3 linked regions of the Cricetulus griseus genome follow. The protein of the gene in region 3 interacts with the protein of the main gene of each other region in a pairwise test. Links are inferred from orthologs where the notes say so. Each region holds a gene or a part of one and is shown on either strand. Other genes may lie near its edges. The genes, in order: Tceanc, Ribc2 and Rad54b.

What was found.
Region 1: the proteins of Rad54b (region 3) and Tceanc interact in a two-hybrid assay, tested with the Homo sapiens proteins (2 studies listed by BioGRID). The two-hybrid records come from large-scale screens. The link is inferred for Cricetulus griseus from reciprocal best matches to the Homo sapiens genes RAD54B and TCEANC.
Region 2: the proteins of Rad54b (region 3) and Ribc2 interact in a two-hybrid assay, tested with the Homo sapiens proteins (2 studies listed by BioGRID and IntAct). The two-hybrid records come from large-scale screens. The link is inferred for Cricetulus griseus from reciprocal best matches to the Homo sapiens genes RAD54B and RIBC2.

The regions. Positions count from the first base shown.
Region 1 is NC_048604.1:101,286,533-101,289,868, forward strand, and holds part of Tceanc (transcription elongation factor A N-terminal and central domain-containing protein), read right to left. Parts: intron 3,004-3,336; 5' UTR 2,868-3,003; intron 2,761-2,867; 5' UTR 2,657-2,760; intron 909-2,656; 5' UTR 901-908; coding exon 1-900.
Region 2 is NC_048595.1:381,969,566-381,973,220, forward strand, and holds part of Ribc2 (RIB43A-like with coiled-coils protein 2), read left to right. Parts: coding exon 1-23; intron 24-2,496; coding exon 2,497-2,615; intron 2,616-3,655. UniProt on the Homo sapiens protein: Microtubule inner protein (MIP) part of the dynein-decorated doublet microtubules (DMTs) in cilia axoneme, which is required for motile cilia beating.
Region 3 is NC_048595.1:125,733,925-125,737,579, forward strand, and holds part of Rad54b (DNA repair and recombination protein RAD54B), read left to right. Parts: coding exon 1-274; intron 275-2,536; coding exon 2,537-2,709; intron 2,710-3,117; coding exon 3,118-3,379; intron 3,380-3,655. UniProt on the Homo sapiens protein: Involved in DNA repair and mitotic recombination. May play an active role in recombination processes in concert with other members of the RAD52 epistasis group.

The sequences.
Region 1 (3,336 bases), on a different chromosome or scaffold from region 3:
CTGCTTCAGTTCCTCATTTGCCATGTCCAGGACAGTCATTTCAGCAAATTCTCTTGCAGACATGGTTCCAGAGAGCAACTTTTGTTGTAAATGAGAATTCTTGGGGTTGTTCAAATTGGCAACTTTGCTTCGAATACAAATTTTGTATTTTTTGATGTTGCTTGAATGAAGGGTAAAAATGTGCTCTTCAATTTCTCTTGCAAGGTTCTGCCACAAATGAGTTTTTGTGTAATCTGTAGAAGAACTAGCTAATGCCGAGTAAAGAAGCTCTATGCCTTTAGATCTAACAGACACTAGGGATTCTTGTAACACACCTGAGCTCTTGCTAGTGGATTCAGAGTCACCACCCCCCAAATATTCTTCGTTAATTTCCATTTCAGTGATGCTACTTTCAGACCCAATTGCTGCTGCAGCAGCAGGAACAGCAGGAACAGCAGCAGCAGCAGCAGCAGCAGCAGCAGCAGCAGCAGCAGCAGCAGCAGCAGACTTTGCAGCATCCTGGGGTACAAGCCTAGAGAGAGACTTGCAAAGACCTGATATTTCATCCTGGCTCGAAACGAACTCCTCCTCCTGGCTCACATCCTGAGAACTAGCTGTACCTTCTTTATTAACATTATAATGGAGTGATTTAAGGCTTTCCTTTGTTTTGTAATGTGTACTCTTATAGAAAGCTCTCCACTTTGCCAGTAGACACTTGGCCTTCCTTTTCAAAGTCACCGAGGGACAGTTTTTGAGGACTCTGTATACAGCTCTGACTATATCTGTCTCCTGGAGATGCTCCTTAGACACATAAATCATTTCAAGCTCAGTAAGCTCTTTGGCAATATCCTCAAAATACCTTTTAGACACCAGCTGCTCAATCAGGGAAGCCCTGGCAATGATATGTTTTCTTTCAGCCATCTTCACAGCTGCAAAGAAAAAAAAAAAGACGGTTCAATCTTTTAAAGTTTGCCTTTATTAATTGCAGCTCCTGCCAGTACATTTGATATTTTCTGAAGGAGTAATGTGATATAAAAGTGTGTGGTGGTGTGGCAGATTAGATAATACAACAATGTGAAATAGTCAACTTTCAATACTTTTATTTTCAATAGCTGAAGGAAAAAAATGGCTCTGCAAAGTTTCAGCAGAACATTCAAAGCCTTGCTAGGATTATCAGCTAGGATTATCAACTTTTCCACCTCCAACTGTACAAATAAGTGCCTTTCTAGATTAAAATTATTCAGGAACCTAGCATGGTAATGTATGCCTGCAATTCTAGCACCTGGGGATAGAGACAAAAAGAACATGAGTTTAACACAATCTTTAGGTACATAGAAAATTTGAGGCTAGCCTGGAATACATGAGACCTTGTCTAAAAAAAATCAGTTCATCTTGGGTGGAATTTGATGATCATGTTGGGAATAAAATCATGCTCATGTAAGCATCCATAAGACAATGCTAAGCAAATACTGGGCTATTTTTTCCTCATATTCAGTTATGAGACCGAGATACTTAATGCCTTTATAATCTTTGCAGTGATACTTTTCTGAATATAAAAAGGAAACAACAAAAATGGGGATACTGATATCTGAACCAATGTAAAGAAACAGATATTACAGGTTGGGAAGCAGGGCTGCTGAACCCTGAAAGTCAACAGAGTACAATGTGCTGACACTGAGGTGCTGGAAAAACAGGGTCAAATCCAGATGACCCACTTATTCTTTATTTGGAAATACTTTTAGATTTACACAAAAGTTGTGAAAAAAGGATACCAGTATTTCCTTTATGCAAACTTATATGCCATATAAATGTATTTTTAAAAATCCCCTATTGCAGGGTCTTTTTTAAGTTTGAAGAAAATTCTTTGTGTGGAATTCTACATGTATGGGTGTTTTGCCTATCTGCATGTATGTCTTTGCATCACATATATGACTGATACCTGTGGGGGCCACAAGAAAATATCAGACTGGAGTTATAGATTGTTTTCCTTGCAGAGTTTGCTTCATTAACTCTCGTGTGTGTGTGTGTGTGTGTGTGTGTGTGTGTGTGTGTGTGTGTGTGTGTGTGTGTGTGTGTGTTTTCTTCTGCTTAAAGTCCTTCAGACATTCCCTTCTACTCACAGGATAGAGACTAGGCTCTGTCCATGGGATGAATAGCACCTCAGCCTGGCCTCTGCCTTGACTACTCTAAACCACAGACAGGCATGGTTCCATTACGCAGTTGTGCCTTTGCTACAGCAGTTCCCTAAACCTGGCCTCATGCTATCACCATGGATGCTTCTTAACCCTGACTGTATATTAGAATCATCCAAGGAAATCAAATAAAATCTAAAGCAAACAACCCCAGGGCCTCACCCCAGATAGAATGAACTGGAGTCTCGGAGGGTAGGACTTGAGCATTTGTCCAGTTCTCCAGCCAATTCGGATTTAAACCACACACAGGAATTCACCTTTCCAACCTACCCCACCAACAGGTTATCATTAGTTTCAAACAGAGCTGCAGTCCTGCTCCTTCACTGAATACACTGACCTCTCTAACTTCACATTATGTTAAGTAAGTCCCATTACATAAGAAACTATTAAAAACACTGCTGTGTACAATTCAAATTAGCATCCTTTGCATTGTAATATAGTAAATGTTGTGTTGTATATGATTCCTGATAGTCTCTAATACTTACCTCTGAACAGTGGAAGGCAATGGACATTTACTGAGTAAGTCTATGGTGCTATTCACGCTCAGGTTACCTCAGTCTTCACAATAAGCCTGGGATATGAATTTCATCTAACAACAGAAAATCAGTGAAAAACATCAAATAACTACAGTGTTTTCATGTTTACCATATTTAAAAACATTTTTGTCTACATTTCCCACATTTCCCTTGAACACACCTACCAAACAGCTCCCGAGATATGTTCTTCTGTTAAACAAGTGGCAAAGTTTCCAGGATGCTTTCTCTCCTTTCAATTTGTGAGCTTCTTGTCACTATGCAGCAACTTCCTTTTACCCACTCACTGTATCTAAGTCCTGGAAGACAAAGTCCACCTCAATTCTTTAAGAAAATCATTTAAAAATCTTCTATCATAAAACTAGAGAGGGGATATAATGAAAAGAGAGAGGGTGAAGAGAGGGTAATGGAATACATGTGACATGAAAGCAAAAGGGGTGTTATCTGGGGCAAGGAAGGGAATCTGTCAGAGGGGGAAGAGAACACGGAGATGGCAGTGGATGAGGGAGATAATTAGAATAAAATATAATGACTTCTACAAATAAAAATGCCATAACAAAACCTACTATTCTGAGCCGAGTGGTGGTGCACACCTTTGATCCCAGCACTCAGTAGGAAGAGGCAGATGAATC
Region 2 (3,655 bases), about 260 Mb from region 3:
GCGGGCTGACCACAAGCTTGCAGGTAATGAAAGAGAAGACAAGTTTATCTCAACCCCTAGCTCAGTTTTTATGGGTGCTTTTAAAAGCTCTGTCAACATTACAAAAGTCAACACCTCAGCCCCAGGAGTCAGCATCTCCCGGTGTGCCTTCACAGTACAGGAAATGCTTTCTGAGCACTCCTATTGCCCTGGTTTGCTTTCTATTGCTGGAATGAAACACCACGACCAAAAGCAACTTGGAGAAGAAAGGGTTTATTTAGCTTCCAGGTCACAGTCCATCACTGAGGGTAGAACCCAGAACCCGTGAAGAGCAGGAACCTGGAGGCAGAAGCTGACACAGCCTATTTAGAAGATGAATAAAAATGTGTGTGGTTATCCAAGTCTCCTTTGGGAGCCCAGTCACAGGCCCAGTGCTAGCAGGTTCTCATCAGGACTCACTGGATTCAGAGAGCCTCAGGATTCAGACATGAAAGGGCCTCTCTATGGGGAACAACAACAAAAAGCAGTATGTTCTGCCTCCATAGAGGCCATCAGCCCCTCCTTGGCAGGCACTTGCAGCAGCTTCTGGTCTTCTGAGCAGGTCACTAGTGACTGAACCGGGAAGAGCTGCTGGGAAGAGCAAACCAGAGCTAAGTGGGAGCAATTGCTCTGCCCTCCCCAGCTGCTCCAGTCTCTGTGTTAATTCAGTCCCCTTGCTCAGCTCGGGTTCCTCTGATGGTTTCCTTCTCAGCTCCCTCCTCTGTCCTCCTTGTCCACTAAAGTTGCTGTGACCGGCCTGGCCCACGGTCTTCATGCTCCCCTCTCCGATGTCAGTTCTCAGCTTCAGCCCCCTGGATTTGCCTTCCAGGCCAGTTCTTTTCCCTGGTTTCTCTGTTGGATCTGCTCCTCTTTCAGCCTCCCCTGCCTGTCCAACCAGAGATCTGAGAGGCAATCCTGACCCCATCTTCAACTATCCTCAACTGTGCCCCTTCTACCTCCTGCATATTCTTTGAACTGTCCACTTCTCGTCATCCTTTGGCCACCACTGTTGAGACAAGACATCAGATTTTCTCCCTGAATGGACCTCTGCTAGTGGCTTTCTAACTGTTCACTCCCACCTCTAGTCCATTCCTAACATGTCAGGCAGAATGACACTTCTCAAATAATGTCACGTTGAACCATGCCACACCCATGCCCTCATCCTAGCTCAAAGATATCTAATGTCTTCGTGGGATGTGGAATGAGTTTAGAGACAGCGCATAGACTGTACATGTTAGGCCTCTGCCCACCTGGAGAACATCAGCTGATATCTCCACCTCATTCAGGGCATTTCAAACACATTGGCTCTTTCACTTTGGATTCCCTCATGTCTCTCCCACCTCAGGGCCTTTGCACCTGCCCTGACCATTTAGTCTTTCAGCTCTGGATAAACATGTCCTCCTAGAAAAGCAGTTTCTTGGTCCCTACCCTCCAACTTCCCTATCCAGAATTCCCAGCATTTCCTTTTTCATCTCATCCTCCCTTTCCTCAATGGACTAGCATACTTTGTATATCTATTTGAGCGGGGTGGGGGGGTGGGGGGGTTGTGTGCTTTGAACCCCCTTTTCTCACCTTTGTGTTGTGTGTGCCCTGAGAAATGTGGGACCCAGTCTAGGCTCTTGATCACTATCTGGTACATGACAGATTAACAGAAGAAGAGTAAGCTGATGATGAAGGTGTACAGAGACCAGAAAGCCAACGCTAAAGCGTCTGGGCCTTTGGGACTGCCTTGCAGTGCAGTAGTAGAGCACTTGCCTATTGTGTGTGAGGCTATGCATCGCCAGCACCGGAGTGTGCGCTTTGTGTCTGGAGTTAATGGGGAGCCACTCTGAGCACAAGTAGAGAAAGCAGATGCTGCTGAACATTGACTTTTCATATGTCCATTGCATCTCAGCACTGTACCTCGGTGAGGGTGTGGGACACTGCGGTTAAACAATAGCCTGCTGATAATGGTGCTAGGCCATGTCTGGAAGCCTGTTCTGACTTTGAACTTTTCTACTTCACTCCTGGTACCCTCCAATTTCACCCTGCCTTGTCCCCCTCACTGGCCTGGCAAATTTCTGCTGCTGCTCCACAAGTGTCTGTGACCTGGCACTCTTTGCTACGGGTCTTGTCTGGTTTCTTTCTACAGCCCTTTTTTCCTGGTTCCTACTGCTTCTTGCCTTTGTAAGGCTGAAACCATCTGATAGACCAGTGTCAGCAAGGTCTAACTAATCTACCCTAGGACTGCTGCAGACATCACCAATTCACAGCAGACATCATCAGTCTGTAGAGATTACAAGTATACCCCTTGCTCACAAAGATCTATGAGCTACACCTAAATCATCCTGCTCTCCCAGAACCTGTGAGGCAGTAGCTCTCCCCGCTCCAACCCACTCTCCCTTCTCTTCCATGGTAAGAAATGAGTGTGAATCACCATGCCACAGATGGTACTTCTGGTGGGCATACTCAGGCTGATGGTATCTTGTCCCCTGGCAGAAGACCTCTACACACAGACAAGACTAAAGTTTGATGAAAAAGCCAGAGAGCTGCAGAAGCTGGAAAACTTCACCAGAAAGGAACTCTGTGCGGCCACGAAAGAGTTCAACAAGAACCAGGTATATGCACCCTGAGCTCAGTCTGAAGGAAAGAGCATGCACATAGCAGCTTCCTCGGGGCTCCCTAAGTTTTGAAGGGTCCCAAGTTGAGACTGCTCACACCACCAGCTCTAACAGAGGTAGGTGAGATCTAATTTGGCCTGCCCCTCAACTAGGCTGTAAACTTCATATAAGTTGCAGGGACTGGGAAGGGTGAAACTTAAAAAAAAAACAAACAAAAAAACTTCTTTATTAATTCTTTGGGAATTAATCATGCACTCCGATTCTGCTCACCTCCCAGTCCCCCCATATCCTCCCCTCAGCCTTGCAGCAACCTTCCAAAAGAGAACAAAACAAAGCAAGCAAGCAAACAAACAAAAATAAGAACAACAACAAAAACCAAACCAAGACAAAACAAAACAACAACAACAAAATCTCTTTGTTTCTCCTTTCCCACCTCTCCAACTCCTCTTCATTTGTCCTGGTAACACTGGGGGCCTCAGTGTGTCATACAGTATACCCTTTGTCCCATCAGCTTGACTGGCACATGTTCATTGCAATGAGTCACTGGTCTGGTTCAAGGCTTCTGGTTTCCAGTACACCATCCTCACTGGATCCTCACTGGAACTCCTCTGGGATATCCTGTGGCTGCCCCGAGTCATGGAGATACTTTGGGTATTGATCCACAGGACCAGTCCCTTCATGAGCTTCAGAGGTCCTAGATGGGATAGATGTTAGGGTGAGCCAACCCAAGGCCTGGCTGAGACCCTGGGTGGTAGCTGAGCTGGTCAGTCTGGGCCACTGGGGCCACCTGCCTCTGTTAGAGTCAGCTCCCCTACATGCATGCCCTCAGGGTCAGTTCACCCTCACCTGTGGTGAGGGGTGGGACCAGCTCTCTTGCTGTAGGTTCCAGTGAGAGGCAAGGCCAGCTTTCCCAGGGCCAGCAAAGGGCAGGGCTGGCTCAGCATGACCCTCTGGTTTTATCTGGCATGGTTTCTATGGACACCTGGGGTGACAGAGGTCACAGACATCAACAAGGGTGTCACTTTTAACCTCCAGAA
Region 3 (3,655 bases):
AGAGAGAAGAGCAGTTGAACTCAGCTGCCTCACTGGACGTTTCATCCTCAGAAGAACTCAGGAAGTCATCAATAAATACCTTCCCCCAAAGATAGAGAACGTCGTCTTTTGCCAACCAGTAGCACTGCAGACTGAACTTTACCGGAAGCTGCTGAGTTCTCAGTCTGTCAGGTTTTGTCTTCAAGGCCTGTTGGAAAATAGCACTCATCTCATCTGCATAGGGGCCCTAAAGAAACTGTGCAATCACCCTTGCCTTTTGTTCAGTTCTGTGAAGGTGAGTCCCGTGGAAACTGCCAGGCCTGAGATGAGGGCTATGTGGCTTTGGAGTCCCAGAAGGTAGATTATGCTCAGCCCTGGAGTGGCATTTGTGAGGCTTTCAAATGCTCAGTGGCTCCTCCTGGGTGGTTCTGTTATAGAATGTCTAATAATTATTAAGTATTTTCTGTACACCAAGAATGAAGTGCTTTTCTGGTTTTATTTTATTTATTCTTCACAAACTATTTGTAATAAGTATGATTACAATCATCTGACCCTCCCCACCCCCCTTTTTTGTTAAGGGCATCTTACTGTTTTGTCCAATATAAAAAGTGGTATTATATTCTCAGGCTCTAGCTTCTCTCCTGCTTCAGAATAGTTGGACAAGAAGCATCTGCTACTGTGCTCAGCTTCTATCTCTATTTCCGTTGCACATCCTGGGATGGCCACGGCTACACAGAGAAACTTGTCTTGGAGGAGACTGAGAGATCTTTGTGTATAATCTTATTCTAGAACATTTCTCAAATTAGATTCCTTTTATAAGTGTGATTTTGAATGATGACTAGTTGAGCCAACTGTTTGCATATTTAATGACTATAAGGCAGTCTGCAACATGGTAAGAATTCTTGAGATTAGGACTGGTATATGTTCCTTAAAATTGTACCTGTAGTTCTTTTGCTCTGAGAGCATCTCGTGCAGCTCAAGTTGGCCTTGAATTTCATATGTAGCTGAGCATGACCCTGGATTCTGATTCTAATTGCCTATATTTCCCAACAGCTAGCATTATAGGCATGTACCACCACTCTCTGCCCCTAATTTTTTTTAACTTTTGTTAAATTTGGTACTTAAGTTGTATCTGTGAGCATTGGTTTTCTTATCTGGAATTTGGAGCAAGTAATTGTTTCATGACAGTTATTCCATTATGACAATTTTACAAGAAATTATGGGAAGAACCTAACAGAATGCCTGGTTAAAAAAGTTGCACAATGATCATTAATGGTATTTCCAGCTCATCATGGAAAACTTTTATTCAGTTCTTTAAGCAGTAAAATCAAAATATGTTCCCAAATAACCTTCCTAACAAAAACTGTGGGTGCTAGTTTATGTATGAGATCATTAATTGTATATTTAAAAAATGGAGTGTTCTAATAGAATTCTCCAAGTTCATTCTACAATGGATCTTATTTACTTAGTTTATCATAGAAGTGAGCTTTATGTAACTCTGCAGAAGGCTGGATTATAATAATTTATTAAGCAACTTAAAAAAAACAGATTCTACATACAAGTGGTAAAAATTAAACCTTTTGGACATGAAGCCCAGGAAGAATAGAAGCCAAAAATTTTTCCTTAAAAGGAAGAAATTATGATGGCTCAGAATATGTCACTTAATTTAGAATGTTTTTGCATTTTTTTGTGTGTGTATTTGTGTATGTGTTGTATATAAATGTGTGTGTCTACCCCAAATCATCAATTCTTTACAGTGTAAGCATATTAAATTATTTCAACTAAACCCTGGGTCAAGACTTCTTCAGATTATAGGTATCTTATGTAGATCTAACTTGACATATTCTATCAAGTGACTTGACCTAAGTATATTTTGTGTGCATGTGTCAATAGCCAAATTACAATTGAATATGTGCCCAGAAAGGTTTGTTTGCTACAAAAGAATATAACATGCATGATCGTAAGAGGAGTTAAAAATATATACAGTACTCAGTTAAATAAAGCCACGTATGAAATACTGTGAAAAAAGAAAAAGAAAACCAAACAAAAACAAACAAACCAAATTGTGCCGGCATGGTGGCACATACCTTTAATCTCAGCGCTCTGGAAGCAGAGACAGCTTTGTGATCATTTTAGAATAAAGTAACCTGAGTCTCTTCATAAATAGGGCCCTGGGTTCAATGAGAGCATATCCCCCACCCCAAATGTGTCGTAAGATAAATTGCTCTGTTAGCTTACAGATGACATCATTACTTATGAAGAAACTGATATGATTTATGACTCAGGAAACTTGGCTTGTTTTAGTTTGTAATTTGGGAGATGCTGTGAGCCACCTACAAATAAAGAGAAAAATAATAGGGAGGGAGGGGGACAGTGAACCAGAGTAAAGTATTGATAGGAGATGTCAGGGTTGGAAAGGCCCAGAAACTCTGAGGAGGCATGGTATGCTTCAGAAGTGGTAACTGTGACCTGGAAAGGTTTACTTCACAGTTATCTGGGCATTTTTCTTCCCATTAAAACAGTAAACATGAACCAGTATTTACTCACATTTGAACAGAGTAAAGAATTTAGCTCAAGTGATGAAAATGAAGAAATGAATCTATGCAAAGGCTTGCTGACTCTGTACCCTACTGGTTACGACCCTCTCCAGTTCTCTGAGAATGAGTCTGGGAAACTACAAGTGTTGGTAAAGCTCCTGGCAGCAATTCACGAACTTCGTCCCACCGAAAAGTAAGCCCTGTACCCAGCCCCCCATGTTCTTGTTACCGTACCCTGCCTCTACTTTCCCTAGTGTCAGTATACTTGGTTTACTTTCTCTAAAGAATACATTTCTGCAAGTACCCTAGTCACATGGAGGTGGGACCTGGGGTTCTGGGTACCGATACTCTAAACTCCTTCCTTCTGAGGAGCCTTGGCAAGGTTTTAAGGTATTTGGACTAGGGAGTTGGCTCCCTGGTTAAGAGTACATAGTGCTCTTCCAGAGAACCTGAGTTGACTAACAACTACTGCTCCCAACTCTACTTGCTGTTGCTGTTCCTTCTGTTATATCAGTGTTGCTATTTTCCTTTAACTAAAAAACAAAAGAACAAAATACTGTCTTAGAATGTTATGTAACAAACTTTTGTTTTTGGTTGACAGAGTGGTTTTGGTCTCCAACTATAGACAAACCTTGAATATTTTAGAAGGCATATGCAAGCGCCATGGATATGCTTGTGCCAGACTTGATGGCCAGACACCAGTCTCTCAAAGGCAGCAAATAGTGGATAATTTCAATAGCAAATACTCGACTGATTTTATTTTTTTATTAAGTTCAAAAGCTGGTGGTGTGGGACTTAATCTTATTGGAGGATCTCACCTAATTCTCTATGATATTGACTGGAATCCAGCTACTGACATCCAGGTAGGAATATTTATGCATTAAGTCCATATTATGTATGCCTAGGAGATCAAATATGATGATGTGTAATTAGTCGTTGGGTATTGGGCTCTTGTTTTGTATCAGACACACTTTAATCATCACAGCATCTCCACATGTGGATGTAAGTAGCCCATGTTTTCTATATGTGAGGAAATGGAAGTTTGTTCTTCCAACATAAGAAATGAAAACCAAGCTTCATGTCACACTGTACAGCTAGGCTTGGAGGAGTTCCTGACCACTGGGGATAACGGTAATCTG